Linked DNA regions of Caenorhabditis elegans. The protein of the gene in region 1 purifies or fractionates together with the protein of each later gene. This does not show direct contact. Each region holds a gene or a part of one and is shown on either strand. Other genes may lie near its edges. The genes, in order: pole-3 and hxk-3.

Region 1 (15,451 bases):
TTTTTTAACTCCTTGTAAGGTAAGCACAATCTGAAAATAAAAAATATAAATTAGGATTTTGTAATAAATAAGTCCATTTAAAAAATAATAACTAAAAAGTGTGCGTCTTTTAAGATTACGGTAATTTCAAATTTTCGTTGTAGAAGAACAGCAGAAGAATAATTTTTTATTAGTTAAAAAACATTTTTAAAGTAATACTTTGGTTTTCGAATAAATAATTTTTTATATTTTTTATTGTGAAAATATAAAAATTGATGACCACAATAACGAAACATTTAAACTACAGTATTTAGTCATTAAAGACGCACACCGTTTTACATTAAACAAAAATTTGTTGTGTCGAGACCGGGTTTGGCGCAAAAATTGCCAACTTTCACGTCTTTGGATTTAGCATCATGATTCAAATATTTTCAGGCATTTTCTTTTTTTTTCCTGTTCATGGAAAATTGTCTGTAAATTTTTAATCAGCACGAGTTTTAAAAATTACAAAATTACAAGTTAAAAGTATAAATAATTCTCACTCCATCTTTCATAACTCTGCTCACAACAGCCAATACTGTATCCCGATCACTAGTAGCAGATTGAATGATTACATGGTGACCAGTGAGCAACTTAAAGTGTTGAAGCTTTCTCTTCGCTGATGTTACAATGAGACGAATGTAAGCATAATTGTGAAGGATATCAAACCACGTTTTGATGCAAACGTCAGTGACAGTGAGTTCACCGATCTGAAAATGTCATGTTTAAATATTATTCGCTTGTATTTAAAATTAGACTTACTTTGTCACATAATTCATCAACATTTTGAATAGTTTGGTAGCCAGAAAGAATGTCTTCTTCACTTGCAAGACTCGCCAAGTCATCTTCATAACCATCATCGAAATTCAAGTAATATGTGGATTCTTTCGATAATTGAATTTCTGCATGGAATCGAGCAAAGCCGGTAAGACCGAGAGTTATCTGGAAAAGAAAGATTTTTTTAGTGAAAAATCATTCATCAGTACCGTAAAAACATTGTTCTTTGTGTCGGTTTTCTTTTTGATTACATCCACCAAAACATCTCCAAATTCTTCAATATCGTCACTCAGACGCAGTGGGGCTCTTTCCTGGACATGTAATAACTTTTCAGTATCAATTGGATCAATGCAAGTCATTTCGAGTTGTGTCAAATACACATTTTTCCATATTCCATCATACATTCGACGATGTCGTTCACGCCTTGTACTGATCAATTTCCAGCCGTTGATAGATCGAAATAGGTCAGATTGATCTTGAATATTCACTGATATTTGTTCTTTTTGTTCTTGTACAACTGATTCATCTTCGATAAGTTCTGAATTAACAGATGTATTTGCATCAATTGCATAAAGAGAGCTTGTTGGGGTTGATAACGCTTGCATCCAAATATCAGTGTCTTCCCAGATTGGAAAGTCTGATTCCGATGAGACGGTCACCTGAAAATATGTTTTCTTCGGGAAAAGTAATATGAAATTGATTTTCGAAGGTGGTGTCAGGCTGTCTCATTACAGTTTGATCTACAAAAAATCGGGATTTTTTCCCAGAAAAATTTAACTTTACACGGACGCTTTTTAGAGAAAAAATCGAAAATTTCTGTCGCTTACAGAGAAACTTATGAGAGATTTAGGTGCCTTCGCTACGAGATATTCCCGCGCCAAAATGATAGGCATTCTCATGATCTCATGGTTTCTTAATAAATGGGTAAATTTTTTGCTTTTTACAAAAAAAACTAGAGTGCAAATGTTTGAAATATTCGAATTTAAATTTTGAAAAACTTTTTTTGATGTTGTTTGGAATTGGAAGATTTTTTTCGCTTTTCCGTTTTGACTAAAAAAGGTTTTTTTAATTCTGTACTGTAAAAGTTTCGATGACGCTAATTAATTTTTGAAAGATTTTCCGAAAAACTTGTATTTACTCTTTCTAGGTGCAAAGATGTTTTGCAGTAGCTTTCGTTTTACAATTTTCAAAACTCAAATTCAAGTCGAACCTTGACTTTTTTCTCTATATACTCAAAATCGACGACACTCCCTCTGCACTGTTGGTGAAAATTCATTGAGGATGAGTGACATAAAATGACTTCTTGATTTTGTATCAATTGTTCCAATTGTACACCATCCTCTTCGTCCACCTCGTTTTTCGATAATATTCGAACTTTTTGCTCTTTTCGAGAATCTGGTGTTGTGAATCTTTTGACGAATGGAATATGACTTAAGACATCCGCCCATAGAACTTCAGCCCGTGACGATCTTCCAGACGACGTAGATGACGCGTTACTCATGTGTTCAAGATCATTTTCACGAGGCTTGCTGGTCGTAGCATCCATGAGAAATCCAATTACCAATTTTTAAGAATTAACTGCAAAATTTAAAAAAAACTATTTGATAAGTATAACAGAAATAATATTGAAAATTTGGCGAAAACCACCAAAACGAACCAACCGTACATTCAAAATTAAAAAAAAGAAAATTCATTCATCGGCTACACTAAAACAAAAATTACAAGAGCAAAAAACACATTCATCGATCAACTTCTCCGAAAACGATATCCATAGTTCCGATAACAGCAACAATATCAGCGATTAGAGACATGTAGCATACGTCGTGAATTGCGGCAAGATGGGCAAAACCAGGAGCACGGATAAAGCATCTGGAAATTATTCAAACTATTTTCATATTTAGTTTATTGAAATCTATTATTTTTACGTCCCTGTACTATTTTGTTCTCCAGTTTTTATTTCTATCAGTACTGTTCTGATGATGACAATCATTTTTTGAATGCAGAAAATAGAGTATATTGTATAAATATAAAACACGTATGTTTTATACTATCACACTGAGTCACCCCCTTACCGATACGGTTTTCCCGTTCCATCGGCCACGAGGTACACTCCAAATTCTCCCTTTGGAGCCTCAATCGGTACATATGTAGCTCCAGGCGGTACTTGGAATCCTTCAGTGAAAAATTTAAAGTGATGAATAAGCGATTCCATGTTCTCTTTCATTTCAGCTCGTTTCGGTGGCACCACTTTGTGATCGTCGGATTTAATTTCTCCAGTTGGCATTTTGTTGAGGCATTGATGAACAATGTTCAACGATTGTCTCATTTCTTCTACGCGACACAAATAACTGAAAAATGAGATAATGATTGAATGTTTCCTCTCTATTTTTTACCGATCATAGCAATCTCCCTTTGTTCCGATTGGTACATCGAATTCCATATCGGCATAGGCATCATATGGTTCGGTTTTTCGAACATCTTGCTTAATTCCACTTCCACGAACCATCACACCACTGAATCCCCAATTAAGAGCATCGGATGCGGAGACAAGGCCTAAAATAATGAAAATTAGAAGATATTGGATTTCATTATGCTCTCAATGATGTCACACTTACCAATATCAACTGTTCTAGCTTTCCAGATTCGATTTTCTGTAAGCATATCCTCCAGTTCATCGATACGAGCGGGAAACTTCACAGCCCAATCATAAATATCATCCATTAATCCAACAGGAAGATCCCATGCGACTCCGCCTGGACGAACATAGTTTGCGTGCATTCTTGCACCTGAAACTCGTTCTGAGAATTCGAATAATTTTTCGCGTTCTTCGAACATCCAGAAGAATGGGGTCATAGCTCCAACGTCGAGGGCGTGTGTGGTGATTCCCATAATATGATTTTGAATTCGAGTGAGTTCGCCGAAAAGAACTGAAAATATGTTTTAAAATGTTAAATTGCGATACTCGATTCATATAGCTCACTTCTGATATACTTCGCTCTTGGTGGAACGTCAATCCCCAACAATTTTTCAATTGCCAGAGAGAAAGCTTGTTCGTTGCACATCATGGATACGTAGTCAAGGCGATCGAAATACGGGAGTGCCTACAATTTTATTCGAATTCGAATTGAAATTTGTTTCGACTCAACCTGTGTGTAGGTCTTGTGCTCAATGAGCTTTTCTGTAGCGCGATGTAGCAGACCAATATGTGGAATAGCTTTAATGATGACTTCTCCTTCCAGCTTGAGAACAAGACGAAGAACTCCGTGAGCCGCAGGGTGCTGTGGTCCAAAGTTGAGAATCATGTTTTCCAGATTCTTCTCTCTGAAATAGAATTTAAAAATCGCAAAAAAAACGTTGCAGCAACCTCTTCTTTCCCTCATAATTGTCGCTGAGCACCGGATCGCTGTATGCAAGTTTCTCCAATTTGTCAAGTCCGATTTGATCGTCGAAATCGGATACGCGTTCTGACATCCAAAGTTTCCCAAGAGTTCCGCCAGTCTGAAATCGTGAAAATGCATTAAAGTATATGCAAACAGTAATACCTTGAATTGACGTTCGAATTTAGCGTCAGGATACCAAATTGTGTGAGAATCACGATTAGAAATAGCTGGCCTGGCGCATGCTACCGCTCGAAGAGGATGCAATGATCGCGAAAGCATCTCTGAACAAATTTACAGTAATAATTTACAGTTAAACTTGAAAATTCAAGGAGAAAACGTGTAAAACAAATATTGCTAATTTCAAATACTACCGTAGTCGCTTTCAATCGTTGCGGGACCCTACTCGAGACTTGCTCCTTGCGCCTTTAGGCTATTCAAAGATTAAGGTAGCGCTTAGCAAAATGTTTAACTTTCGAAAAATTCCGAATTTTTCAAAATAAGAGTATTCGTAAAAAAATTTCCTACTTGAATCTTTGGGCTTTTTAATCTTTCTCAAACGCCCTTTATTTTCCCAAAAAAACACACTTTCTCTAAAAAGAAATAACTAAATTCCAGAATTTATAAGCAATTATTCATAGAATTTGCAAAGATAGTGTTTCCAGTGCTTTTTCGAGCGATAACAACATTTTGCTAGTAGAGATTGTGGAATTTTTGTTGACGATAGTTGATTAAAAGTAGATTAAAAGTGTTAAAAATAGATTTAAAGTGTTCATCATATATTTTTAAGCTCTTGGTTTTTTCCAAGAGCTTTGCTATGTTTCAAATTGATCTTCTATGCATCTATTACTTTTATATTCACCCTCTTCCTTTTTCCGGTCTATTGTATTCAGGAGTTAGAGTCTATAAACACATTCATGCTCGTCTCACACAACAACCTCGCAGTTTCTTCCAACGCCCTTCACTTTTTCTTTTTTTTCTCCTTCTTCTCGCTCCCACCAACACCCCAAAACATTTTGAAATACGCGGGCACGCGCCTGTTTGCATTTGAGTGCGCGCGCATTGCCCCGACGACAGCCGAGTCGCACACTCCAACACAGCCGGGTCGCGTGCGACGCGGCTGTGCAGCGTGCGACGCGCCCCGCCTATCTCGCTCTCGGCTTCGCTCAGCCATCTTCTCTTTCGTCTCCCAATGCCACCCATTCCTCCACTCTTTGAAACTGTTATCTTTTGGCTCACTTCATTCTCCTCCACTTTCGATATCTTTTCTCTGTTGTCTTACGAATGCTGCTGCTGATAAATGCGTACAATCTGATGTGTACTCTTATCGAAAAAGTAGCCTGTTTGTTGACATGAAATATCTTTTGAAAAAAGTTCCCGATGACACATAACTGGGGAACTCTTCTTCTTTCATCTATTTCATTATTTCTAAACTGTTCAGATTTAAACAATTCACGTCAAAAGTTTTTCATGTTGCGGGCGCAAATACTCTGTACTCAAGTGCCTCCGAGCTTTGCAAATTATATTTTTAATACTCTGAAGAGCCTTATTCGTACTAACATACTCCTGTTTCGTGTCATAAATTGGGTCGCTCAAATAATTACCTTGCCGTTCTTCCATTATCCTTATCTATCTCTTTGACCTCCGCATTCCGCATTCACAACCGTTATTATAACTACTACCGAGTACCCGGTGTTCAATTAATTTAATTTTGTATTTTTTGCAGCCAAATCCGTTCAAAATGGTTGACCGCAAGGCTGTGATCAAGAATGCCGACATGTCCGATGACATGCAACAGGACGCCATCGACTGCGCCACCCAGGCCCTCGAGAAGTGAGTTATGAGCTTTCTCATTGCATTTTAAACGCTTGAATAATTCGATTGCCATGAACAACACTTGGTCGCTTAGTAGAGAAAAAGTGTAAAGAAATGTCGTTTAGCTGTTTGGAACGGCTCATCGGTCCCTTGATTTAAACTAAAGTGGACGGCAGCCCGAGTCTAGGGGAGGGGGCGAGCAGGAGCGACCAGCTGATCGAACAAATCTGATCCTTGTGCAAGAAAAAAGCGAAGCGATGAAAGTCTAAAAAATAAAATCAAAACATTTTTTTTTCAGATACAACATCGAGAAGGATATTGCCGCTTACATCAAGAAGGAGTTCGACAAGAAATACAACCCAACCTGGCATTGCATCGTCGGAAGAAACTTTGGAAGCTACGTGACCCACGAGACTAAGCACTTTATCTACTTCTACCTTGGACAGGTCGCCATCCTGCTATTCAAGTCTGGATAAATCCCATCCTGTTCTTAAAAAACATTCAATGATCTTTAAATTGTGACCTGATCCTACGTGTACCTTAGGTGGCGTAGGATCTTCAGTGTGCACTCTTGTTAAATCTTCCTTTTCCTCCCAAAAAACATTTTCCTTCGTCGCATTCTATTTATTTAGCTCAAACTGTTCATTTTCTTTGAATCTTCCTCCATCACCCATAAATCTTCTTACGTTGTCCGTTTTTGAGAGAAAAGAGAACTCATAATATTTTTGTTCTCGAAAAGTGCTCGCACTAAAAGTAAAAATAAAAGGATAGCTTTAAATCCCTTAATTATCTGTGCTTCATTTTTATACTCGAAACTGAACAAGGCAATAATTTAAGATAGAAATGTCATCAAACGATGTGGATCAAAACGATGATCGAATTGCTCAAATGATGATGCCAGCAGCAATTGTGACTCGGCTCATGAAAGAAGACAATATTTCTGCATCAAAAGATGCTCGAGACGTCATCGCTCGTGCTGCAGCAGTGTTTCTCATAAACTTGTCCGACGTTTCGGCTCAATCTGCTCGCGATCAGAAGCACAAGACGATCTCAGGAGATGATGTTGTCAAAGGACTCCGAGAGCTTGAGAATACTTCTATTCACAATCATGTAATTATGGGTTTCGAAAGAGTTAAGAAATTAAAATTTCCAGTGCAAGTCCGCCAACGATAAATGGAAAGTTATTAGTCAGCAGAAGGCTCTCGCTCGTAAAAATCCAGTTGAATCCAGCTCTGTCAATGCTGAAATGGATGACGACATTATTGACGATACTCCTGTCGATGGTTAGTTCTATTCTTTAAATCTGAAGTTTATCTGAATAATTTATAATATTGCAGATTCATTGATGAACTGATCACTCATAACCAACTCATTCCTGCTCAAAACGATCCTTCCTGTAAAATCTCATTCCGATTCTCAACGCGTGTCCCACTTTTGTCTCTAACATTTCACTTTGATAAACAATTTTGGCCAATAGTTTATTGAATGTACAAAACCCCGAAAAAAAATTAAAGCGATCTGAATGCCCCCGAAAAAGTGCCCATAAATAAGTGAATCGGCATGATCAATAAAATAGCGAAAAATGAGAATTGAATAATTGCACGAAGTTTGGCGAATCCATTGTCTGGAACTCGAAAGTCTGCACCAGAGGTAGCTGATCTCTTCCACATCACTTCCCAAGAATCGAATTTTTGCTCCTGTGTATTCTTCTTGAGCCGTATCAATTCATTGCAATTATTTGGGAATCCACGAGAAAGTTCAATAATTTGACGACTCAACTGCTCAGAATCATCGAAAAGATATCCATTAGTTTTCTCCTCAACGAGCTCATCAATACATTTGAATTTTAGAGCCAATGCTGGAACTTTAGCTCCAAACATATCAACAACTTTCATCGGAAGATCCAATCCAGACGTGCTTGTGTGCAAAGAGATTCCTAAGTCAGCAGAGGCTAGAATCTTTGGATAATCTTCTGCTTCCAACCATGGAGTCAATACATCGACATTCTTCAGATTTTTCTCGTGAATTTCTTGTAAATATTTCGCTTTCAGTGGACCTTTTCCAGTGATAATCATCAAAACTCGCGGGAGTCCGATTGTTTTGTCATATGCAACCAGCGCATCGAGAAGAATTTCAAACCGTTCATCAGGTGTCCAGGATGTGGAAGAGAGAAACACAATGGGTCGAGTTGTTAGTAGCTGCACTACTCCGTTCGAAGATTTATGAGTCAGAATTGTGGAGTCTTCGTCTTTTCCTTGTAGAATTCGTTCCTTTTGTGAAAGTCTTAGATACAAATCATGGATCTCTTGTATTGTTGTGTCTCTGAAAATTTCGAGATTAATTTTCAGAAATTTCACATTTGTTCAAACCTAAATTTCCACGTCGGCGGCCTATCATAGAATGTGCTGGCTCTGATGCCCCATCGATCCATGAGATCTCGACGCATGGCATTTGTTACACACAGATTATAATCGGATAGTTTTCCACATAGACCTTCTAGGAATCCAACACATCTCACAATTCTGAAAATGTAAATTGTTCAATACGAGTTTGATTTATTGTACAGACGCGAATGTTTTGGCTAAAATACGTTGCCCGGTCTCGGCACGACAAGTTTTCGTTAAATATGAAAGGTTATGCGCCTTTGAAGAGTACTATAGTTTCAAATTCGTTGCTGCAACAGTTTGATGTGATTTTTCCAGTTTTCGTAAAAAATATTTTTCATGGGATAAATTACAGTACTCTTTAAAGGCGTATGTCATTCTTCGTTTCACAAAGATTTGTCGTGTGGAGACCGAGTACCGACTGTTTTTTTTCGCGTCGGGGAACAATGCCGGTGTCCAATACTCACTGGGCTTTTTTGGTTTTTTTATCGTTTCCAAAAACTTGATCATCGGTCAATTGGTATTTATTTTGTAGAATTGAATACATGTAATTGTGCCAATCAATTGAGAATTTTGCGAATTTGAATATGGAAAACTGAAATTAAAGTTGATATTTTATAACGGTAGTCAGTAGAATCCTACCATGAAACAAACTATCATCGTCGGAAGCGCCGGCGGATTCTGCATAAGAATAATTCTTAAATTAAAGGCGCTTGTTTGAAAAGCGAGAGCCAAGAAAAGAGTTATAAAGTTCCAAAAAAGTTTCAGTGGAAGTTGCACGAAAGCTGGTAACGAATCCATGAAGTCAGGAGGTGGCGGGATTCCAACTATTCTGAAATTTTATTTATTTGGAAAAATTCTTTGGATGATTTGTAACTAAATTTATTTTTTTAAACGGAACAACTTTTTTGCAAATTTTTTAGATAAAAATTTTCTGAAACTCACTTTATCCTTGGATGATTCATAATTTGTTCTCCTGGAATAGAATCGAAAAATCCAATAAGTTTGACATCAAATCCTTCATCAGCGAGCATTTTTGCGTGATTACACATTCGTGGGCTTCTGCCGACATCACCAAGAACGACGACTGCGGCTTCACTTCTAAACTGTTATTTTCAGTAATTTTTAAAAATTTTTTGTTTTACCTCTCGTCTGGCGATTCGTCGTCTTCCTTTGCCATTGTACGCCTATGAAGATTCAATTTTTTAAGCTTGAATTATGGAAATTTCCTATTGCAAAAGTATAGACTACAAGGAATTTCCACCTATTTTCCAGTCCGTAAACGATAAATTCTAACGTCTGCTTTATTAAAATGAAAAAACTAGAAAAGGATCAAGTAAACAAAAAATGAATACAGAGATACGGTTCATCAAGGCAAGTAAAGCTCTCGTGAATTGGTATTGGCATTTGTTTTTAAAAAAATACGATAGATAAAAAACAACGGATATCGACGGGAAATTAGTTGGAAACATTGAGATGCAAAAAAGAATTTCTGTACGAGAATCATCATCAGACCACGACGTTGCAGATAAAATTATTTTTGAAAAATGGGAGGAGTAAAAAACGGGTAAAGATAGATAATTTGGAATGAAAAATGAACAGCAATAGGTGTTTGAATAACATTGCAAATTGAGGTAGCTTGAAAAAACAATGGATGTGTTAATTCAAGAAATTCAGACAACTTTCGCAAATGCTGGAACTTAAAATAACACGAGATAACAACAAAAACCATATATTAATGGACATTAAGATAGAAACAAATGTTGGAAAATGAGAGCTTATATTTTGCGACAGAGCCCGAACTTGTTGATTAAGAACATTTTTGTTAAAAACAAGAAAATAATTGTAAATGAAAATGTAAAGAGGCGACGATCGATTCCTTAGTTGAATAGCAGATCAGAACTAGGAATCATTGATAGCTTTAAGTTTTCCGACGAGAAGCTTCAGCTCTGCAATCGCTTCTTTTGATGGAATCTTGTGCTTGTGCCTAAATAATACAAATTATAATATATAATTTCTTTAATACTATACGAACCCATCGTCATGATGCTGACTATGACTTTTGCGTCCATTTGACATATCCTTCTTCAAATCGCTGAGAGTAACCGGTGGTGGAGTGATTGCAGTTGGGTAGGTCGGCGAGCTGGCTATATTTATTGGTGATAATGAATCATTGACAACATCTATTGGAGAATCATCTTCAATTGAGTGACGATTAATGGACGACGTGTTCGGGAGCCAAGAAGACTGAAAAAATAAGAAAAATGTTTGCTAAAAATTGCATCAAAATCTTACTCTTGAAGGTGTTACAGTAGTCGGAGTGTATGGTGTATCAATAGATGAATTACGAGAAGAGTTGAAATCAGGTATGAAACTCGGACGACGTTCAGATGAGATCGAGGAGTGACGTGACGAGGGAGCAGATGCTCCCTCAGCAATCATCTTATCCTGACGAGACATTGCAGGCATATATACGCCCTTTTTCATTGCCGATCCTGCATCACTGCTTCGCCGTTCGCTCGACATGTGTTTTCGTAACTGATATTCGTTTGTCGATGAGACCATTGCTGGAGATGAAAGTTTTGGTTTTTGATGATGGGATGGTGATGGAGTTGGAGCAGCGTTCGGACTGGGACGATATTCTTTGTGTTCTTTATTTCTTGAAGACGATGGAGTTTCATATGTGTCAACACTAATTGCCTCATCTGGAATTAAATTGATTTTTTGAATTTTAAGTACGAAAATTTCAAATAAGACTTACATTTAGCTCTTTTAGTTGGAGGCTTCTGTCCATCGTAATGATCATTATTTGCTTCATTTATATCATCAAAAGTCGTGAAAACTGGAGTACTGTGCTCTGGTTCCATACTTTGCTCGCGGCTTTGACTTCCTTCCTCACTTCCTCGTTTCGGCTCAATCTTGTAGAGATTCTTTTCAATATGAAGTTCGACGTTCTTAAAATAGTTAATATTAAAATTGAATGAACAAAACAGATAAAAACTCACATTTTTCGTTTTTCTGTATGCTGACTTGAGCTGTCCAGTTCCAAGCTTCATCATCTCCATTCTGGGATCATAGTTATACGGATTTGAAACAACTGGATCGATTTGAATAGATGAAGTTGGAAGTCCACCAACAAATGCCGGCTTCTCTGGCTTTTTCTTTTTAGATTTGCTCGATCCTCCTCCATGAGCAGCTCTGAGCTCTGCATCGAGTTGACTTTCCAATTCAATACGTTCTCTCTCCTTCTTCTTCTTTTCCTTCGAAATTTTGTCTTTCTTACTCTTCGAATTCCTTCTCTTCTCGTCTTTTTCAACTTTCTCCATCTTTTCCTTTTTGTCCTTCTTTACTGACACTTCTTCTGATTCATCATTTTTAGCACCTGAACGTCTTGAACTAGAACGTCTTGTAACTGGAGTTGGAGTATATTCTTCGGCTTGATATTCATCTTCTTCTTCCTCCTCTTGATCTTCCGGCTCTTCGGCATCGTATTCCTCTTCCTCCTGATCATCACGTTGCCCAATTCCTTCATATTCCTCCTCAAATTCTTCTTCAAAACCATTAATATCCTCTTTAATTTCATCTTTGGGTGCAGGAAGATATTCGAGAGGTCCTGATGATGGTTGTTGAGGCAATATAATAGGCTTATCAGTCACTTCCGATTCTAAAAGCTCATCGGGAAAGTTATCAACTTTGAATCTTGTGCTTCTTCTCGCAGATTCTTGTGGTACTTCTTGCGTCGGCTGGAAGTCATATTCACCGGTTTCCATGGTGGATCGAGTCTGAAAGTTAGATTTTCAACCAATTGCAATAATTTTCAGAAATAATAACAATATAAAAACTTACATATCTTCGAGGCATTATCTGGTTGAATTCAAATTTCTTCCCTGTCTGAAAGTCAAAACAATTAAAATTTAAAAAAAAAACAATTTGCACACTTTAAACGATAGTGAGAAGTATGAAGACTTGGGCAACTACAAAAAAAAAAACATTTTGAAAATTTTAATGCAGCACAAAAAGGAATTTATTCTCGACGCAAATTAATAATTAGTATTAGAATTGTTATATCTTTTTGTGAACGGATTATTAGAAAATTTACAGATTATGAGATTATAATAGTGAGATAGTGAAGGAGATTGAACGTGTCGGTGTATGTGGTATGAGTCGATTGACTTTAGTTCGGCTGAAAAATTAGGAAACTAGCATTATTCGCCACTAAGTAGTGGAAATTTGAAAAAAAAAGACAGATGGATCTTTGCGAGATATTTACAAAATTATGAGTGCCCCGGTTGCAAATTATTAAACAGACTGTAAGAGATCATTCGATCGTCTTTTAGAATCGCGCGTTTCGCAGTACAATTACCGGCTGTAACAATGGATGTGACAATTAGATGTGGCAAGTGACATTAACAATAATTTTACACAAAAATAGAGCACTAAATGTAAATAAACTTAGTGTTAGTGTAACTAAAAATTATCGAAATAAACGTTTGTTCAGGGCAGAAAAGAATAACAGCTCATCAAACAATTTTTCAATTATACCTAAAAAAACCTAGATCAGATAAGTTTTTCTCACTATGCCAATAGCCTGCAAAATAATACGACAGTTTGAGGCCATAGAGACGCATGCAGAACGAGATGAAGAGGGCGATAGAGACGCAGGCGTTTCAACAGTCTTTCACTTCTCACTATCTACTACTTTCAACAATGTTTATCGGTCTTTTTGACTTACCAATTCAGAACGTCTTTTTTTCAAAACAGTTTGGAATGTGTTAATGAGAGACGCTGGCTGGCATATTCCTTCAGCCACTTCGACACGTGCTTTTCGACGAATATAAGTGCCAAGAGTTTCAAGTTCATCCAAAAGTCGAGGGGATATCCTAGAAATCTCATCATCGTTAAAGTAGATTGGCGGCTCGTGTCCAATTGGAAGTTTGTGGTCCGGCACGCATTTATTTCGAACAAAATCGTGCGTCTGAAAAACATGTAAATTTCGAGAGGAAACTTCATTGAATTCGATAAATTCTTACACGGTTCTTGTAGAAAATTAATGAATTTGAATTAGCTAGTTCATCGATTTCAGCATCGCGTCGAGCATCCATTTCTTCTGAAATTCATCAATTTTATTACTGTCGTGTTTAAATCTCCTTACCTTTAGTTTCTTGATACTTGACTTCATCTTCGTCAGCTTCTTCTTCAAGACCCGTGTCAGCTGAAAACGTTGCTTTGCTGACCATAGGATAACCAAATAGTGAATTCTCCGCGTGCATTGCAATCACTTTAACTTCTGAAAATTTCGATTTTAAAATCATATAAAAGAGAGAAAAATATTAAAAAGATCAAAGAAACCATTTTAAATTAGTCATTCATTCTTTTTTGACATTAAAAAATAAAAAATACTCTACCATCTTTTGTGGATTCCTCGTCTCCTTTAATCATATCGTTTGTCAATTCAACTCCAGTTTCGTAATCTGAGTATTCGATTTTCTTATGATGGCCACCAGCGGTTTTCCATTTGTCTCCAACATAGTCATATTTTGCATCTTCGATTCGAAGTGGTCTCACATATTCTCTTCCTGTCCATTGTTTTACATAATCAGCTATAACGTAGAAAATAAGTTCTTCATTGTACGGTAAGCGAAATTTTCTAGTGATCTGAAATGTTTCAAATTTGTTATTTACAAGTCTTCTGTAAAAACTCACATTCAACTTATTTTCAACTTGATAAACTCTTAATTGTGTTTTGCATGATTGTGAGTGAAGAAAATTGCCTCCAAAAACGAGACTATCATCTGGAGTATATACGGCATGAATCCATCCACTTGGAATTAGCATCGTGTCTCCTGGCTCCAAGATAGCCACGTGGCACTTTTCGACCGACTTTCCAAAGAACGCATTATCGTTGACAGTTTTAATAAATTCTTGATAAATAAAAAAGTTGGTTTCGGTTGGTGGAATCAACCAAAAGACTTTACGACCTTTCAGTACATGATACCACACAGATGTTCCACTAAAATCAATGTGAAAATCTGTATAACAGTTCGCTACGCTCATCAGGCAGTAGTTTTGAACTTTTGGAAAAGTATGATGCGGATTGTAGAATTTTTTGTCTCTTCCGTTGAATGAGATCCACCTCTGGCGCAGAGCATCTGGCCACTGGTTTCCAACCCAGTCGATTTGACGAACAAGTTCTGGAGATTTTACGAGATCTTCTAAGGGAGTTTGGGAAAATTCTAGAGATAGAACATTGTACAGTACTTCTCGTTTTTCTTGTGGCGTTCTGGAAAATGAAGTTTGATTGGTGTTTAATACTAATTTGTAATTACTCACTTGTAGAAGTTTATAAATTCCTGTAACGACATTTTCACACTTCCTTGATTCTGGACTTGAACAACTTCTATCATTCGATTTCCGCCTACCAGTTCGAGGACATCATCCACTGAGAAATCTGGTGAGGGAAGTCTGTAAAAATATTTATTTTTACAATTAATTGGAAAAATCAATACTCACGTCATTCCTATTCTTTTTGGATCACATCGGAAATGTATCGGGTTGTCAAGTCCATTTTTGTCGTAGAACTCCAAATTTAAAGCTTCTGGGTCCATTGTATGTACAAATTCGGGATGTTGGAAAGACGGATCATTCATCAGAGCTTCGAAATCAAAATTCACACATCGTTGAAGTGACGACTTATCGAATCCAGTAGTTTCTTCACCTTCTGAAGCACTATGTTCGTGCTCTGAACTTGACTCTTTCCTAGCCTTCTTTGCGCCCTTTTTACCGTTCGCTGGCGTTTTTCCATTTGATTTCCGTTTCGGCGGCATCTAAAATAATATATTTTATTAGAATCATAGGAAAATGGTTAGTTATGATACAAAACTGTCATAAAGTTGGCGTAACTACGGTAAATCAATTAAAGACTTGAACGCAGAGAACGGAGTTTTTCTCAGGACATTTTCAAGCGATTAATTAGATTAACTTTCGAGATTCTAATGGCTTTTAATAAAAGAAAATGTAAATTAAGTACCCAAAAAAAGTTTCGTGAACTGCTTGAATTAAAGGTACATGGAATTTTCGAAG
Region 2 (16,922 bases), on another chromosome or scaffold:
GAAAAATTCTTCCTAAAATTACGAAAAACCGGGCAAAAAAGATAGAAGTTGTATTAAAACCAAAAAAAAAAAAAAAAAAAAAATCAAAATTTTCCTCACAAAAACCTGCCACCTGCCTCATGCCTACTGCGGCTAGAGGTAGGTAAGATTTTTTTCCGTTTTTTTTAATGCCAAAATGCTTTTTTTTTTCGCTATTTTTTCCAAATTTTTTCGAATTTTCTAGGTTTTGCTCGAAAAATCATAATTTTGAGCTAAAAAATCCAAAATTTCAGCGATTTTTGCTAAAAATGTGACAATTTTCCGTTTTTGAAGCGATGATTTTCGCTGTTTTTGTACACTTTTTTTTTTCAAAAATTGTGCCATTTTTGACGTAAAAAATCCATAATTTTCCCAATTTCGGTGCCAATTTCCACATTATTCCACACAAAAATCCTCGATTCCATACCACATTATCATCGCCAGCAACTGAAAGGAATGATCCACACGGAGAAAATGATGAATGGTACAATGCACACGGAGCCGTCTCCAATAATTTCGCCTTCCACTCTTCAGTTTCAATATTTGAAGTACGGAAAAGTACCAAATTTCCCTCCATTCCACAGCTAACAATTGTATGTTGTCCATTATTTGTTACCGGGCACCATGCGGCTTCACGTACAAAATCTGTGTGTCCGGCTAGGGTTTTCTCGAGAATCCATTCGTTTGTAGCGTCGTCACTGGAGGAAAAAATATTGGTGATTTCGAAGGAAAATTGTCATTAAGAAAATGAATTTTTCTTAGGAAACCCCAATAACACTGCAACTTTTTCCTCACGAGGGACGAGGAAAAGTGGTTTCTAGGCCATGGCCGAGGGGCCGACAAGTTTCAGCGGCCATTTATCTTGCTTTGTTTTCCGCGTGTTTTCTTTTGTTTTTCACAGCTTTTTCCCGTTTTTTCTTATTAAAACTGATAAATAAATATTTTTTGCAGATGCTAAAACAATTTCCAAGTTAAAAAATTATGTATCCAGTGGGCAAGCAGCGGTGAAAGTGGGCAATGTAAAATGATGGATTACGGGAATACAAAACCTAAACTTTTTCTGAAACATGATACATATGCTGCTTAAATGCTGAGACTACCTGATTTTCATAACGAGTCCGCTGAAAAAGTTTTGAGGTTTCCACAATTCAACTTTTTTGGTAAAAAAGTCGAGATTTTCGCACAAAAAATTGAATTTTGAAAACCTCAAAACTTTTTTAACGGTCTCGTTATGAAAATCAGGTAATTTCAGCATCTAAGCATCATATGTATCATGTTTCAGAAAAAGTTTAGGTTTTGTATTCCCGTAATCCATCATTTTACATTGCCCACTTTCACCGCTGCTTGCCCACTGAATACATTTTTTTTTTACTTGGAAATCGTTTTAGCATCTGCAAAAAATATTTATTTATCAGTTTTAATAAGAAAAAACGAAAAAAATCGATGAAAAACAAAAGAAAACAGGCGGAAAACAAAGCAAGATAAATGGCCGCTGAAACTTGTCGGCCCCTCGGCCATGGCCTAGAAACCACTTTTCCTCGTCCCTCGTGAGGAAAAAGTTGCAGTGAGAAACCCCAATAAATTCGACAAAATTCAGTGGGAAATCAGCTTTTGGGCAGCTTCAAAATTGGGATTTTCCAAAGCGAACCCAAATTTCTGCATTATAATGGGGAAATTTTTTTTTTTTTTTCGAATTTTCACCAACAATTTTGTTTGTAGCGCGTCGTCACTGTAAAAAAATGGGTAATTTCGCGGAAAAATTGTCAAAAAATGGATTTTTCAAGAGGAAATTCAGGAAATTCGACAAAAATTTCGAAAGAATATACTTTTTTTCTGATTTTTCAGCAAAAAAGATTAATAAAAATTTCCGATTTTGGGGGTTTTTTGAAATGAAACTGCGAAAAATCTGGAATTTGAGAATTTTTTGCAAAAAAAACAGCTTTTGGGACAAATTTTCAAGTTTAAATTATTTTTTGAGTGATTTTTTCAGTTTTTTTTTAATCAAAAAACCGAAAAATTGGATGTTTCAGGGGGAAAATCCAGGAAATTCGACAAATATCTGTTAAAAAATATCCAAAACCTGGAAATTTTGAATTTAACACGATAATCTGAAATTCGGGTAGAATTCGCTTTTACTTTTACAATTTTTTAGAAAGAAATTTATTAAATGGTCGGATTTTTAGTCTTTTTTGATGGAAAACTGTGAAAAAATGGGTTATTTCACGGAAAAATTGTCAAAAAAAAGGATTTTTCAAAGGAAACTCTAGAAAAATCTGGAACTTTGGCGAAAAATTTCCATTTTTTCTCGTTTTTCGCGTCGTCACTGGCAAAATAATGGGATTTTTCAGGTGAAAATTTAAGAAATTTGAGAATTTTCGGTGAAAAAATACGCTATTGGGTCGAATTTTTAACTTTAACATTGTAAATTTTGAGAATTTCAGAAAAAAAAACAATTTTTTCATTGATTTTTCAGAAGGAAATTTTTTTTAATTCTGGAATTCAGGCTTAGGCTAAGGCTTAGGCCTTAAAAAAAATCCGAATTTAATTTTTATTTTGCGAATTTTTTCATCCCAGAAAAACTGACTTTTTCAGGGGAAAAATCTCAGAAATTCTTGTGATTTTAGCAAAAAATCAGGTAATTTTGAGGGAAAAATTTGAATTTTTCAAAAATTTCCGGTAAGAACTGCACTAATTTGTGATTTTTAAACAAATTTTGGATCAAAAATACAACTTTTTTGGGAAAATTTCATAAAATCTGCCAATTTTGCTGAAAAAAAAGTAAAATTTTACGACTTTTTTTCCGAGAAGTTTTGGCAATTTGAGGCTTAGGCCTAGGCGTAGGCGTAGGCTTAAGCTTAGGCTTAGGCTTACAAAAAATCTGACTTTTGAGAACCTGAGAAAATTGCGGTTTTTGTATTTTCCATCGAAAAAACGTCAAAATTTCACGTTTTTCGGGTCAAAAAAAATCTAAAAAATCTAAAAAATCGATTTTCAGTGCATTTTCTCTACTCACAAAGCCCAAATCTTGACATTTTTATCATTTCCAGCTGAAACAAGACGTTTTTTTGCCGCCGGATCAGCACTTCCAGGTGCCCAACACACTGAATTAACTCCTTGTTCATGACATTTCTGAATTTTCGACGAAATCCATTCGTTGCTCGAATTGTCGTATCGAAGAATACCGATATCACCGTCAGCAGAGGCAGAAGCCAACATTAGGCCATATTGGTGTGGTGCAAAGGCCACACAAGTCGTACTGGCCTCATGAGCGGCCCATTCGTAGGCTTTTTGCCAGCGGCCTTGTTGTTCGTTCCAGATTATCACTTTTCTGGAAAGAAAATCGATTCATTTGGGGGAAAATTGGCTGAAAATCTGTGAAAATTGATGAAAAATGCCTGAAATTAGAGCAAAATGAGCTAAAAATTGCAAAAAACCCGTGAAAAACTACTGAAATTCATGGAAATTCCAGAAAAAAACGTTGGATTGGGGGGTAAATTGGCTCAAAATTCCGAAAAAAAAACTATGAAAATTGAATAAAATCGATAAAAATTACAAAAATCGGGGCAGAAATCGACTAAAATTCGGGAAAAAATTGCAGAAAATCGGTAAAAATTTCATAAAACCCGTTGAAGTTTTTAAAATTTTGGTGGATTTGAGGGAAATTAGGCTTGAAATTCAAAAAAAAACTGTGAAAATTGACCGAAAATACTGATTTTTCTTTAAATAATCCGTGAATTTAAAGGGAAAATAGCGTAAAATCGGTGAAAAATGATCAAACTCATTGAAATTTCAGAAATAGGCTGCATTTTTCAATATTTGTGTCCATTTTCTTCCAAAATCACTCTGTTTAACCAATTTTTGGCAAAAAACCCAAAAAATGAGCTGAAAACCGATTAAAAACAGAGATTTTAGCGTATTTTTATGAAATTCTGATCGAATCTAGCAAATTTTGATCATTTTTCCGTTTTTTTTTCCAAATATTCCGTACTTATCATAGGAAGCGGAGGCAAGAAGTCCTCCATATTTCGGATGAGCCCATGAGACTTTCCAAACGGGACCACTGTGTCCGACAAGCTCCGCCATCGGATATGACTGGCCATTTGGGCGAACCTGTAATATTTTTATATTTTTTTTTGCGTTGAAATTATGAAAATTCTGGGATTTTTGCAGAAAATCCAAGATTTTTCGCCTTTCCTGACCTCAAAAATCTTCACAAGACGGTCAGATCCACACGTGGCGAGTCGGCTTCCGTAGATGTTGAGCTGAGCGTCGTGCTGCAATTTTTCAGAATTTAAAAAAAAAAAATAGATTTTCTTAGCTAAAATTCAGATTTTCCGACTTACAATTGCGTCACGATGTTGTGTATCGATTCTCTGGCGGACCGTGGTCATTTTTCAGCTGAAAATCTAGAAATTTCGAAAAAAATCGCTAAAAATTGAGTGAATTTCGGCAAAAATTGAATTTAAAAATTGCAAGTTGGAACGATCGAGAAACGCGTCAACACGAGAAACGCGCCAGCAAACGATAGCTGGCGTGTTTCTCGTGCGCCAAGGAACGTGGATTTAATCACGAGAAAATAATAATTGATGGAAACCTGGAGAATTCGAATGGGAAATTGTTGATAATTTGATAAAAATAACAATTTCTAGTTCTACTTTTTAAGATTTTAAATCAAAAACAACTCAGGGAACCTTTCAACACAGATTAAAAGATCAAAGTTCTGAAAAACAACTTTCTTAATTATATTGTCCTTGTTTTTTCTTCTGTTTTGATTTTTTCTTCTGATCATCAATATCAACACGCCGTACTTTGAAGTCTGAAAAAAAGATTCAAATGAAAAAAAAACACATTATATTTTGTGCTTAGCCTCCGTGTGTCTTATTGCGGGTCGCGTGACGTCGTCAGCGCAATTTTTACGATCATTTCTTTCTGTCATGATCATCAGTTTGATTTTCTAGCGTGATTTGGAGGCGAAAATCAATAAATTATAATAGTTTTTCGCTTATTCCTGTTTTAAAACATGTTTTCTATATTTTTATTGAGAAACTTGAGATTTTTAAAAAGAAAACTTTAAAACCCGCTTGTATTTTTGCAATTATCTTATTTTTTTCAATTTCTTCGCTGAAATACTTGAAAAATTGCAATTTTTGCTGAAAATAATTCCAAAAAGTGTGCGCGGCAAGTAAAATGCATTGTACGCAATTGCGTATCAATGCATCTAACCCGACGCGCAGTTTCAAGGTTACTGTAGAACATTTTGTTTTTTTTTGTGTTTTCCCCAATTTCCAGCCGAAAAACTCGAATTTTATGTGTTTTCCAACGTTTTTTAAAATGTTTTTTTTTGTAAAAATTTTAGAAAGTCAGCAAAGTTAACGTTTCTATCGAAAAATCCAGTTAAAAATCAAAAAATTATCGATTTTTCGGATTAATTTGGAAATTCAATCGAAAATGAACTATTTGAGGAAATTCTGGCAGTTTTTGCGGAAAAAAATTGAAAATTGACAGAAAAGTCGATATTCTAACAGAGTTTTCACGCAAAATCTAAAAATGTTGAATTATTTTTCGATAGAATTTCGGGGTTTTAAAAATTTTTAGGACAAAAATCAATAATTTCCAGAATTTTTTTGAAAAAAGTTTCGAAAAATAATAGTTTCAAGAAGCATCAAAATCGTAAGTTTCAGTTTTTTTCAAATTTCCGATAAAAATCCCCAAAAAGTAAAAAAAAATTTTTTTTTGAAAAAATCTGTTATTTGTGCCGAAAAATCATTAAAGCAAATATAAGAAAACTATTATTTATCTAAATTCTTATAGAAAATCCAATTTTTTTTATAGAAAAATCAAATTTAAAGAAAAAAAAAATCAATAATTTCCCCCAAAAGAATCCTGCCACCCCAAAAATTATCAACAGAGCACAATTGCATCATATTCCATAAAAAATATCATTTGGCACACTGCCAAGTCTTCATCACACCAACATCTCTGCACTCTCCACATCTCTGAACCCCCTTCTTTCAGTGTCTGCGTCTCCACACCCTCTACACTCTCTCACCCTGGCTGAGGTCCTCTTTCTCTTCAATTCTGCACGTGCGGACTGCCCTTTTTATTGTTTTTCTCCTTTCTGCCACTTGATTTGATAGATAAATTATCAAAAAATCGATAATTTTAAATTTTTTGCGAGAAAGTTGGAAAATTCCAGAAATTTTCCAAAAAAATCCCTGTAAATTTGTTAAAGTACATAGTTTTTCCGAAGAAAATCGACAAATCTCGGAAATTCGAGGTTTTTAACCGAAAAACACTGCAACTTTTTCCTCACGAGGGACGAGGAATAGTGGTAGGGGCCGACAAGTTTCAGCGGTCATTTATCTTGCTTTGTTTTCCGCCTGTTTTCTTTTATTTTTTCACAGATTTTTCCCGTTTTTTTCTTATTAAAACTGATAAATAAATATTTTTTGCAGATGCTAAAACAATTTCCAAGTTAAAAAATTGTGTATTCAGTCGGCAAGTAGCGGTGAAAGTGGGCAATGCAATATGATGGATTACGGGAATACAAAACCTAAACTTTTTCTGAAACATGATACATATGCTGCTTAAATGCTGAAATTACCTGATTTTCATAACGAGACCGCTGAAAAAGTTTTGAGGTTTTCAAAATTCAATTTTTTGTGCGAAAATCTCGACTTTTTTACCAAAAAAGTTGAATTGTGGAAACCTCAAAACTTTTTCAGCGGTCTCGTTATGAAAATCAGGTAATTTCAGCATCTAAGCATCATATGTATCATGTTTCAGAAAAAGTTTAGGTTTTGTATTCCCGTAATCCATTATTTTACATTGACCACTTTCATCGCTGCTTGCCCACTGAATACATAATTTTTTTACATGGAAATTGTTTTAGCATCTGCAAAAAATATTTATTTATCAGTTTTATTAAGAAAAAACGAAAAAAATCGATGAAAAACGAAAGAAAACAGGCGGAAAACAAAGCAAGATAAATGGCCGCTGAAACTTGTCGGCCCCTCGGCCATGGCCTAGAAACCACTTTTCCTCGTCCCTCGTGAGGAAAAAGTTGCAGTGAAAAATAGGCATTTTTCAAATTTTGAACGTTTTTCTTTTTAAAAAATTGTTTTTTCGCACCGGAAATCTTGAAAACACGCTATTTTTATAATTTTTTAACGATTTTTTTGCAAAAACTCAAAAATATCAATATTTTCACGAAAATTATTTTTTTTTAAACAGAAGCTTCGGAAATCTCAGAAAACAATTTTTTCCACAGAAAATCGTGAAAATTCGCTATTTTGTAGAATTTTTGCAATTTTTTACCATTTTTCTGCAAAAACTCAAAAAAAAATTAATGTTTTCCCGAAATTTCTAGAAAAAAAACGTATTTTTCTCAGAAAATTTCGAGAAATTCAAATTTTAATTTTTCGTCGTTTTCGCTTGACATTTTACGCATTTTTACCGAAAAATTACTAATAAAACACACAGTTTTCCCAAGAAAAATACAAAAATAACAAATATATTCGATTTTTTTTTGAAAATTTCAGAAAAAACTTACTATTTCGAGGAAATCCTGAAAAATCCAATATTCCGGCACTTTTTTTCCACAGAAGCCAAATTTTAAAAAAGTTTCTTTAAAAAATTATCAATTTTTGTCTAAAAATGGTTATAAAAGTTTTTTTTTGGAAAAAAAACCCTATTTTTACCGAAAAATCACTGAAAAATGCAATAAAATGCATAGTGTTCCAAAGAAAAATACAAAACTGACGAGAATTCAATTTTTTTTTCGAAAATTCCAGAAAAAAAACTCCAAAAATCGACGAAATTCAGTTTTTCCGGCACATTTTTACCAAAAATTTCGATTTTTTCTTTCTACAAAAATAGTAAATTTTTGTCTGAAAATTGTTAAAACTACCTATTTTTCATTAAAACAAATACTGATAATGTAGAAAACAACTTTTTTTTTCAAAGAAAAGTTTCAAAAAAATCCTATTTTTCCCCGAAAATTCCAGAAAAAAACCTAATTTTCACGAATTCTCATATTTTTTTTCCACAAGAAATCCTGAAAAATCACGAAAAATTCAATTTTCCGGAATTTTTTTTTCCAAAAAAGTCAATTTTTCTTAAACTTTCTAAAAAAATTGCCAATTTTCTCTGTAAATCGGTTTTTGAAATTAAATTTTTCTTAGAAAACCCCCTATTTTTCCTCAAAAAATTCAAAAAAACCTTCCTAAATCCCAAAATTTTACAGTAATCTCCACAAAAATGAAGGTTCTACCACCAGAAGTCGAGGAAATCCTCGCGAAATTCCGTTTAAACCGTGAACAACTTCAAGAAATCAGCGAAAAAGTGGAGCAACAAATGAAAATGGGTCTCGCAAAGACTCAAGGCTCATCGATTGCAATGTTGCCGAGTTATGTACCAGCGTTGCCAGATGGAACAGGTAAAAATGCAGAAAAATGGAAATTTAATGAAAAAATCTAAAAAAAAAACATAAAAAATCGTCGATTTTAGCCAATTTCGAAAAATCCCAAAAAACAAAACTGATAAAATTAATCAAACATTTCTGAAAATCGAGAAAAAAACCATTGGAATTTAATTAGTTTAATTAATTAAAAATCGTGAAAATTTACTAAAAACGACAAAGAAATTCAAATTTTGCTTTGAAGATTCAAAAGTTTTACGAATTTTCATGGAAAATAGGTAAAATTGAAAAAAAAAACTAATTTTAATTGTAATTTTATAGAAAAATCTACGAAGTGGATTAAAAACTCTAAAAAAAATTGATTTAAATGTGAAATTTCAGAAATTTTGTTTATTTTTGATTTTTATTGAAAAAAGCTGAAAATCGAAAAAAAAATTCAAAAAATTGCGTAAAAAATTATAAAAATATATTAAATTCCTTGAAAATCAGGAAAAAAGTCGAAAAATTAAGTTAAGACTTACAAAGTTAGTGCAAGTTTAAAAAATTCACTGAAGTTTGACAAATTTTACAGAAAATCGCGAAAAAAATCGCTAAACATTTGTTAATGCAATAATTTTACTTAGTAATTCCGAAAAAAATCATTATTTTCATGAAAATTTGCCTAAAATCTCAATTTTTAAAGAATTTCCTAAAAATGTCAAAAAAAAATCTGAAAAATACTATAAAATTTAACAAATTAAAAAACTAAAATTCAGAAAACTTAATTTTTAAAGGAAAAATCAAAAACATACAAAAAATTCCAGAAACCGGAAAATACGTGGCAATCGATTTGTCGGGAAAGAATCTTCGAATAATGTTACTCACAATGAACGGAGCCGGAACGACGCCCACGCATGAAACAGTCAATTATATAGTAGCTAATCATGTTATGAAGGGAACCGGTGATCAGGTAAGCAAAATTTGTGCGAAAAATTTGAAAATTTCCGAAAAAACAGCTAAAAACACTGCAACTTTTTCCTCACGAGGGACGAGGAAAAGTGGTTTCTAGGCCATGGCCGAGGGGCCGACAAGTTTCAGCGGCCATTTATCTTGCTTTGTTTTTCGCCTGTTTTCTTTTGTTTTTCACAGCTTTTTCCCGTTTTTTCTTATTAAAACTGATAAATAAATATTTTTTGCAGATGCTAAAACAATTTCCAAGTTAAAAAATTATGTATTCAGTGGGCAAGCAGCGGTGAAAGTGGTCAATGTAATATGATGGATTACGGGAATACAAAACCTAAACTTTTTCTGAAACATGATACATATGATGCTTAGATGCTGAAATTACCTGATTTTCATATCAAGACCGCTGAAAAAGTTTTGAGATTTTCAAAATTCAACTTTTTCGGTGAAAAAGTCGAGATTTTCGCACAAAAAGTTGAATTTTGAAAACCTCAAAACTTTTTCAGCGGTCTCGATATGAAAATCAGGTATCTTCAGCATCTAAGCATCATATGAATCATGTTTCAGAAAAAGTTTAGGTTTTGTATTCCCGTAATCCATCATATTACAATGCCCACTTTCACCGCTGCTTGCCCACTGGAATACATAATTTTTTCACTTGGAAATTGTTTTAGCATCTGCAAAAAATATTTATTTATCAGTTTTATTAAGAAAAAACGAAAAAATCGATGAAAAGCGAAAGAAAACAGGCGGAAAACAAAGCAAGATAAATGGCCGCTGAAACTTGTCGGCCCCTCGGCCATGGCCTAGAAACCACTTTTCCTCGTCCCTCGTGAGGAAAAAGTTGCAGTGAATTACTGAAAAAAAAAGATTTTGGATTCAAAAGTTCTGAAAATAAATTTTTTTGGCAGAAATTCAAAATTTCTGAAATTTTTTTTTAGCAAGAATTTCAAATTTTCTGGAAAAAAAACATTTGGTGGGAAATTCAAATTTTCTGAAATTTTTTTGGCAAGAAAACAAATCAATCATCAAATATCGAAAATTTGAAAAATCTGTGACGTCACAAATTTTCAAAAAAACATTTCCCGCCGTTTGGAGCTTATGGGACAACAACCTGACACCAAATTTTCAAAGTTTCAATTCAAAACCCCGACTAAAACGGGCAAAAATTGGCGAAATTTCTCAACTTTCAGCTTTTCACATTCATCGTCAATTGCCTCCAACGATTCCTACAAGAATTCGGACTAGTTGATGCTAATTTACCTATTGGTACGAACTTTTTCACCGAAAATTCCGATTTTCCTGGAAAAAATATTAAAATATGTCTTTTCAGGGTTCGTATTCTCATATCCATGTGAACTATTGTCAATTCGTTCGGCACGTCTTTTGTGGTGGACTAAAGGGTTCGATATTAAGGATTGTTTGCAACGGGATATTGTAGCTCTATTGGAAGAGGCTCTCGAGATGAATATGGTAAAAATTCGATTTTTTCTTGAAAAACTATCAAAAAATTTGAAAATTTGTCCTTTTGTGATCACTAAAATCGGAAACCGTAAAATTTTCGATTCTACGAAAAATAGCTTTAAAATTTGGCAATTTTTCTTACGGTAATAAAAAGTTTTAAAAATGCGTATTGCACAGCATATTTGACGCGCAAAATATCTATCTCGTAGCGAAAACTACAGTAGCTCTTTAAATGACTACTGTAGCGCTTTGTTGTGGAATGGGGAGCCGACATTAGCTGCGCGGCGACTCAAGCGACGGCAGGATACGCAGCCTTTGGACGCCACCACTTCAGTCTTGATGCTGCGCTCGTGCCGAACGGTCGTGCGTGGCACTTCTCTCCCGACGCATCCCCCATTTTCCTTTGTAATTGCCCCTCACTATTATTCATGTACTTGCTCCGATATCCAAGGAGAACCCGACAAACTCCAATAACCAAGGAGTTTCCAGGCCTTCCCCCTACTTTATCCTCTCTCCCTCTTTTATTGTAATTCTTATAATTACTATATAAATTAATATATTTATACATTTGTTCTGTCACTAGCTCTATATTCAAGTCTCCTCGAGAGCAAGACCACCGCATTCATCCGCACTGCCAGAGGGCTCCTTCCAGACTATACATAATCTTTCTTCGGTCTCGAGTCACTCTTCGTTACGGCTTAAAGGCTCGGTCGCCGCCTCCGGGTGCCACAACACGCTTTTGTCGATTTATGGGCTCCATTTTTAAAGTGAAATCACCTATTTATCGATAGAATATTTAAATCAAAGGAAGCCCGTAAATCGACACACAACAGCGCTACAGTAGTCATTTAAAGAATTCTACTGTAGTTTGATATTTTGCGCGTCAAATATGTTGTGCAATACGCATTCTCAGAGAATTTTGAGTTCCCGTAATAACACAGTTTAATAACAAAAAACACTCGATTTCAGTCCACAAAAGTGAGCATCAAAGCAGTGATGAACGACACAGTAGGACAGTTGGCTGCTGCCGCACACAAATATGGTCCAGAATGCACAATTGGGGTGGTTATCGGTTATGGGTAAGGATATTGCTAGGTTGCTAACATTTTGCTCCCCCATTTTTTTATTACAATTTATTATTACCGTATATCCTCTAGGCAATCTATCCCATGCTCACATTTCCCATGCACACATTTCCCATGCTGACATTTTCTCCCGTGCATACAAAATATTCCCATGCTTACGCCCAGTAGTTCGAGTACTCCCATGCCTACAACTCATTTTTTCCCTTTTTTCCGTTCCCATGCTGACATTCTCATACATACATTTTTTCCGGTGCATACAAAATTCCCATGCTTACATCCAGTAGTCGAAGTACTCCTATGCATACACCTCATTTTTTCCATTTTTTTTCGTTCCTATGCTGACATTCCCATACATACATTTGTTCCCATACTTACAAAAATGTATTCCCATGCCGACATGGAACAGTTTTGTGCTCCAGAAGAGCACAAAGTCAATTTTTTTGCTCATTTTCATTGTAATAGGCTTACTTGACAGCTTTCAGTTACAACTGATCGCTTTTTTTTCAAAATGCATTAGTTCTCGATTATGAACAAGGAATCGAAGAAAAATGGGGATGACTGCCTATAGAGTAAAATTTTTTTTTTGAAAAATTTTTTTCTCTCTATTTTGTAGGATATAATTAATTCGGTGAATTCCACAACTTCAAATGTTCATATTGCTGTTTCCGTGCAGTTATGAGTTTCGCAGTGTCTTAGGAACATTCCATTTTTTGTTGCATTTTGTAGGAAATCGGAGCTATCTTATAATTTCTACAAATTAGAAAATCCATTTCGTACTATTTCATGTAACTTGAACCTATTGCTTCAAAAATAGCACAGAACGAATGTTGATTCTGTTTCTTTCATTAAAAAATGTGCTACTGTGCATTTTTTCCCACTTCTACGACTTTAAAGGCGCGCGAATTTTCGCGCAATAATCTCGCCACGCGCATCCCATTGATTTGTTGAGCGCTGGCGAGACCAATGACGGGACCATTTTGTATAAATGCGCGCGCCTTTAAAGTCGTAGAAGTGGGAAAAAATGCACAGTAGCACATTTTTTAATGAAAGAAACAGAATCAACATTCGTTCTGTGCTATTTTTGAAGCAATAGGTTCAAGTTACATGAAATAATGCGAAATGGATTTTCTAATTTGTAGAAATTATAAGATAGCTCCGAATTCCTACAAAATACAACAAAAAATGAAATGTTCCTAAGGCACTGCGAAACTCATAACTGCACGGAAACAGCAATATGAACATTTGAAGTTGTGGAATTCACCGAATTAATTATATCCTACAAAATAGAGAGAAAAAAAATTTTCAAAAAAAAAAATTTTTTTTGAGCAAAAAAAAATTTTACTCTATAGGCAGTCATCCCCATTTTTCTTCGATTCCTTGTTCATAATCGAGAACTAATGCATTTTGAAAAAAAAAGCGATCAGTTGTAACTGAAAGCTGTCAAGTAAGCCTAATACAATGAAAATGAGCAAAAAAATTGACTTTGTGCTCTTCTGGAGCACAAAACTGTTCCATGTCGGCATGGGAATACATTTTTGTAAGTATGGGAACAAATGTATGTATGGGAATGTCGGCATGGGAACGAAAAAAAAGGGAAAAATGAGTTGTAGGCATAGGAGTACTTCGACTACTGGATGTAAGCATCAGAATATTTTGTATGCACGGGAGAAAATGTATGTATGGGAATGTCAGCATGGGAACGGAAAAAAAGGAGAAAAATTAATTGTAGGCATGGGAGTACTCGAACTACTGGGCGTAAGCATGGGAATTTTGTATGCACGGGAGAAAGTGTCAGCATGGGAAATGTGTGCATGGGAAATGTGAGCATGGGATAGATTGCCTATCCTCTATTAGTAAGGCGTGCAAAACTAATTTTCGGACGCCTAATTTGATGCAAAACTAATAGAGGGTGCAAAACTAATTTTCAAACTGGTTTTTTTCTCATGTTTTCCATTAAGTTATGGCATAATATCATTAATTTCAGTAACACCTTGTGAACCAAAATGGACAAATTTTAAGGCTGATATAAAATCGTCGAAAAATCTGGAAAATTCTTACAGACTTGTTATACTAAGTCTGTAAGAATTTTCCTGATTTGTAAAACGATTTTATAATGCAAATTTTAAATTATTAAAAATAGGGAACAAATGAAGGGGTGCAAAACTATTAGAGGTGCAAAACTAATAGAGAATATACGGTATTCAACATTATTCAATGTATTTCCCATTAATGCTCGAGTAGATTGAAACGAATGTTCGTTATGAAAACAGTACTCCTACTCAGGGGTGGGCGGCAATTGCCGGTTTGCCGATTTGCCGGAAATGTTAATTTTCGGCAAAATTATCTGCTAATCTGCTAAATTTTTTGAAACTCTGCAATTATAGTGTTGGGGTACTGTAGGTACCAAGGGTGCCGGTTTTTCGAGAAAATAGTTAAAGTTGAAACAAAAAAGTCTTCGATGGAACCACTAAGTTTTTGGGCTTTTGCCTCTGTTTTTTTTCAAATTTTAACTTATTTTAAACCGAAAATCTGACTTTTCGCATATTTCTCCTTATGCCAAAAAAAACCAATTTTCCAGGTGCAACTCGTCATATCTGGAAAAAACGTCCCGAATCACGAAATTCGACGCAAAAGCTCGCGGTTACGATCATGATAACATGATTGTCGTCACAGAATGGGAGGAATTTGGAAAACATGTAAGAAAATGGGGAAAAAAGCGGAAAATTCTAGATTTTTTTGTGAAAAATTACGAGAAAATCGAAGAAATTTTAAGCTAGAAGAGAAGAATCTTAACTTTTTCGATATCCAAAAATTAAAATGTTCAGGGTGAACTCGACGATATTCTGACACAATTTGATCGGGAAGTCGACGCCGCCAGTGTGCACAAAGGAAAACAGCTGTAAGTTGATGTTCTCTGAAAATCACCGAAATTATGAAAATACACGAAAAATCACAAAGGAAATCTGGAAAAACGAAGGAACAGCCAATATTTAACCGAAAAATTGGGAAAATTAGAAGTTTCACATATTAAACTAACACAATCTCACTTTTTTTTTTAAATCTGATAAATATACTGAAAATCAACATGTTTTACTTAGAATTCAGCGATTATTTGAAAAGTGGCTTATTATTGAATTTTTTCGGCTTTTTCCATCCCAGTTGCCGGGGAATGCTGTAAATTTAGGTACGGCAACTCGGCATCTGAACTGAATTTCCCTGTATATTTTCTGTGACTTGTGTGTTTCTCTATCCGAATTGATGGTTTGAATAGTGGTATTCTCGGCTGAAATATGCAATAAATACCGTATTCCAACCAACAATTTGTGCAATAGAGCACACTTGTCACTGGAGATGCGGAAGCTATGCCCAAATTTTCATTTTTTTTTTGTTTTTAGTGTAAAATCTGGAATTTTGCAGAATCGATAAATTGTGCGGAGCCCTGTACATTGGTGAAGTTGTGCGACGAGTACTTTCTCAACTGGTTTTGGATAGGTAAGTGAAAAAAAGTCAAACTTTTAGTATTAAAAATTAAATTTTGGAAAATTTACGAAAAGTCACAAAAGAGCAAAAATATGCTCAAAAATACAAAAAAAAACAAAAATTTTAGCTTTTAGCTTTTTAAATGAAGGCATGTGAAATATGTATAATTTATGATTTTTGCAAAAAGTATAAAGTTACGAAGAAATTAATGCTATACTATTTTTTTTTTAATTTGATTTTTCAGAGTTCTATTCGAAGGACAATCGTGTGAAAAATTGGACGAAGACGAGTCATTCCCGACAAAATATATTTCAGAGATTTTGGGGTGAGTTTAGATGAATTTTGAGCAGAAAATTGAAAATTTTTTGTCGAAAATCCAAATTAAAGCATCGAATTTACAGTTGAAAATTCAAATCTTGACTGGAAAATTCTAAGAATGAGTAAAAATTCAAGTTTAAGCTGAAAATTTAAATTTCGATTAAAAAATTCGATCTGAAATAATTACTGAACACTGCAACTTTTTCCTCACGAGGGACGAGGAAAAGTGGTTTCTAGGCCATGGCCGAGGGGCCGACAAGTTTCAGCGGCCATTTATCTTGTATTGTTTTCCGCCTGTTTTCTTTCGTTTTTCATCGATTTTTTTCGTTTTTTCTTAATAAAACTGATAAATAAATATTTTTTGCAGATGCTAAAACAATTTCCAAGTAAAAAAATCATGTATTCAGTGGGCAAGAAGCGGTGAAAGTGGGCAATGTAAAATGATGGATTACGGGAATACAAAACCTAAACTTTTTTTGAAACACGATACATATGCTGCTTAGATGCTGAAATTACTTGATTTTCATAACGGGACCGCTGAAAAATTTTTGAGGTTTTCAAAAAAAAAAAAAAAAAAAAGTTTATGTTTTGTATTCCCGTAATCCATCATATTACAATGCTTACTTTCACCGCTACTTGCCCACTGAATACATAATTTTTTACTTGGAAATTGTTTTAGCATCTGCAAAAAATATTTATTTATCAGTTTTATTAAGAAAAAACGAAAAAAATCAGTGAAAAACGAAAGAAAACAGGCGAAAAACAAAGCAAGATAAATGGCCGCTGAAACTTGTCGGCCCCTCGGCCATGGCCTAGAAACCACTTTTCCTCGTCCCTCGTGAGGAAAAAGTTGCAGTGCAGAGATTTGAAAATAAAATTTTCCAATTTTCAGTGAAGAAGAAGGTGTATTCAAGGCGTGTCGACGTATTTGTGAAGAGCTTGAAGTTGAAATGCACGGAACTGGAGATTATATTATAATACGAGAAGTGTGTGACGTCATCTCTAGACGAGGAGCCAGTATTGTTGCCGCAGGTAACTGAAAATTTTGATCTGAAATTTCGAATTCTACAAATTTCGAAATTTCTGAAAGTTTAAATTTTCCAAAAATTCAAATTTTCAAAAAAATTTCAAAATTTCCTAAATTCTAAAAAATTTCCATTTTTCCCAAAACGCTGAAATTTATTAAATTCAAAAAA

What was found.
Region 2: the proteins of pole-3 (region 1) and hxk-3 fractionate together in Caenorhabditis elegans (co-fractionation; one large-scale study listed by BioGRID). This does not show direct contact.

Annotation. Positions count from the first base shown.
Region 1 is NC_003281.10:6,454,227-6,469,677, reverse strand, and holds pole-3 (DNA polymerase epsilon subunit 3), read left to right. Parts: upstream 1-6,821; 5' UTR 6,822-6,830; coding exon 6,831-7,097; intron 7,098-7,140; coding exon 7,141-7,270; intron 7,271-7,324; coding exon 7,325-7,341; 3' UTR 7,342-7,462; downstream 7,463-15,451. Other genes in the region: T26A5.2 (ANK_REP_REGION domain-containing protein), read right to left, coding at 1-30, 522-728, 781-960, 1,005-1,454, 2,006-2,341; nduf-2.2 (Complex I-49kD), read right to left, coding at 2,535-2,664, 2,868-3,143, 3,189-3,348, 3,411-3,722, 3,776-3,896, 3,942-4,116, 4,160-4,293, 4,338-4,454; dlc-1 (Dynein light chain 1, cytoplasmic), read left to right, coding at 5,914-6,005, 6,286-6,463; algn-1 (Chitobiosyldiphosphodolichol beta-mannosyltransferase), read right to left, coding at 7,496-8,309, 8,357-8,509, 8,839-8,966, 9,014-9,203, 9,317-9,472, 9,517-9,551; jhdm-1 (JmjC domain-containing histone demethylation protein 1), read right to left, coding at 10,274-10,358, 10,407-10,618, 10,667-11,076, 11,133-11,325, 11,377-12,153, 12,218-12,262, 13,104-13,346, 13,402-13,478 and 5 more.
Region 2 is NC_003282.8:1,491,599-1,508,520, forward strand, and holds the start of hxk-3 (Phosphotransferase), read left to right. Parts: upstream 1-8,263; 5' UTR 8,264-8,277; coding exon 8,278-8,455; intron 8,456-9,240; coding exon 9,241-9,386; intron 9,387-10,572; coding exon 10,573-10,648; intron 10,649-10,712; coding exon 10,713-10,852; intron 10,853-11,812; coding exon 11,813-11,922; intron 11,923-14,506; coding exon 14,507-14,624; intron 14,625-14,753; coding exon 14,754-14,827; intron 14,828-15,345; coding exon 15,346-15,420; intron 15,421-15,652; coding exon 15,653-15,733; intron 15,734-16,618; coding exon 16,619-16,758; intron 16,759-16,922. Other genes in the region: npp-20 (Protein SEC13 homolog), read right to left, coding at 446-716, 3,032-3,346, 4,007-4,128, 4,218-4,292, 4,362-4,409.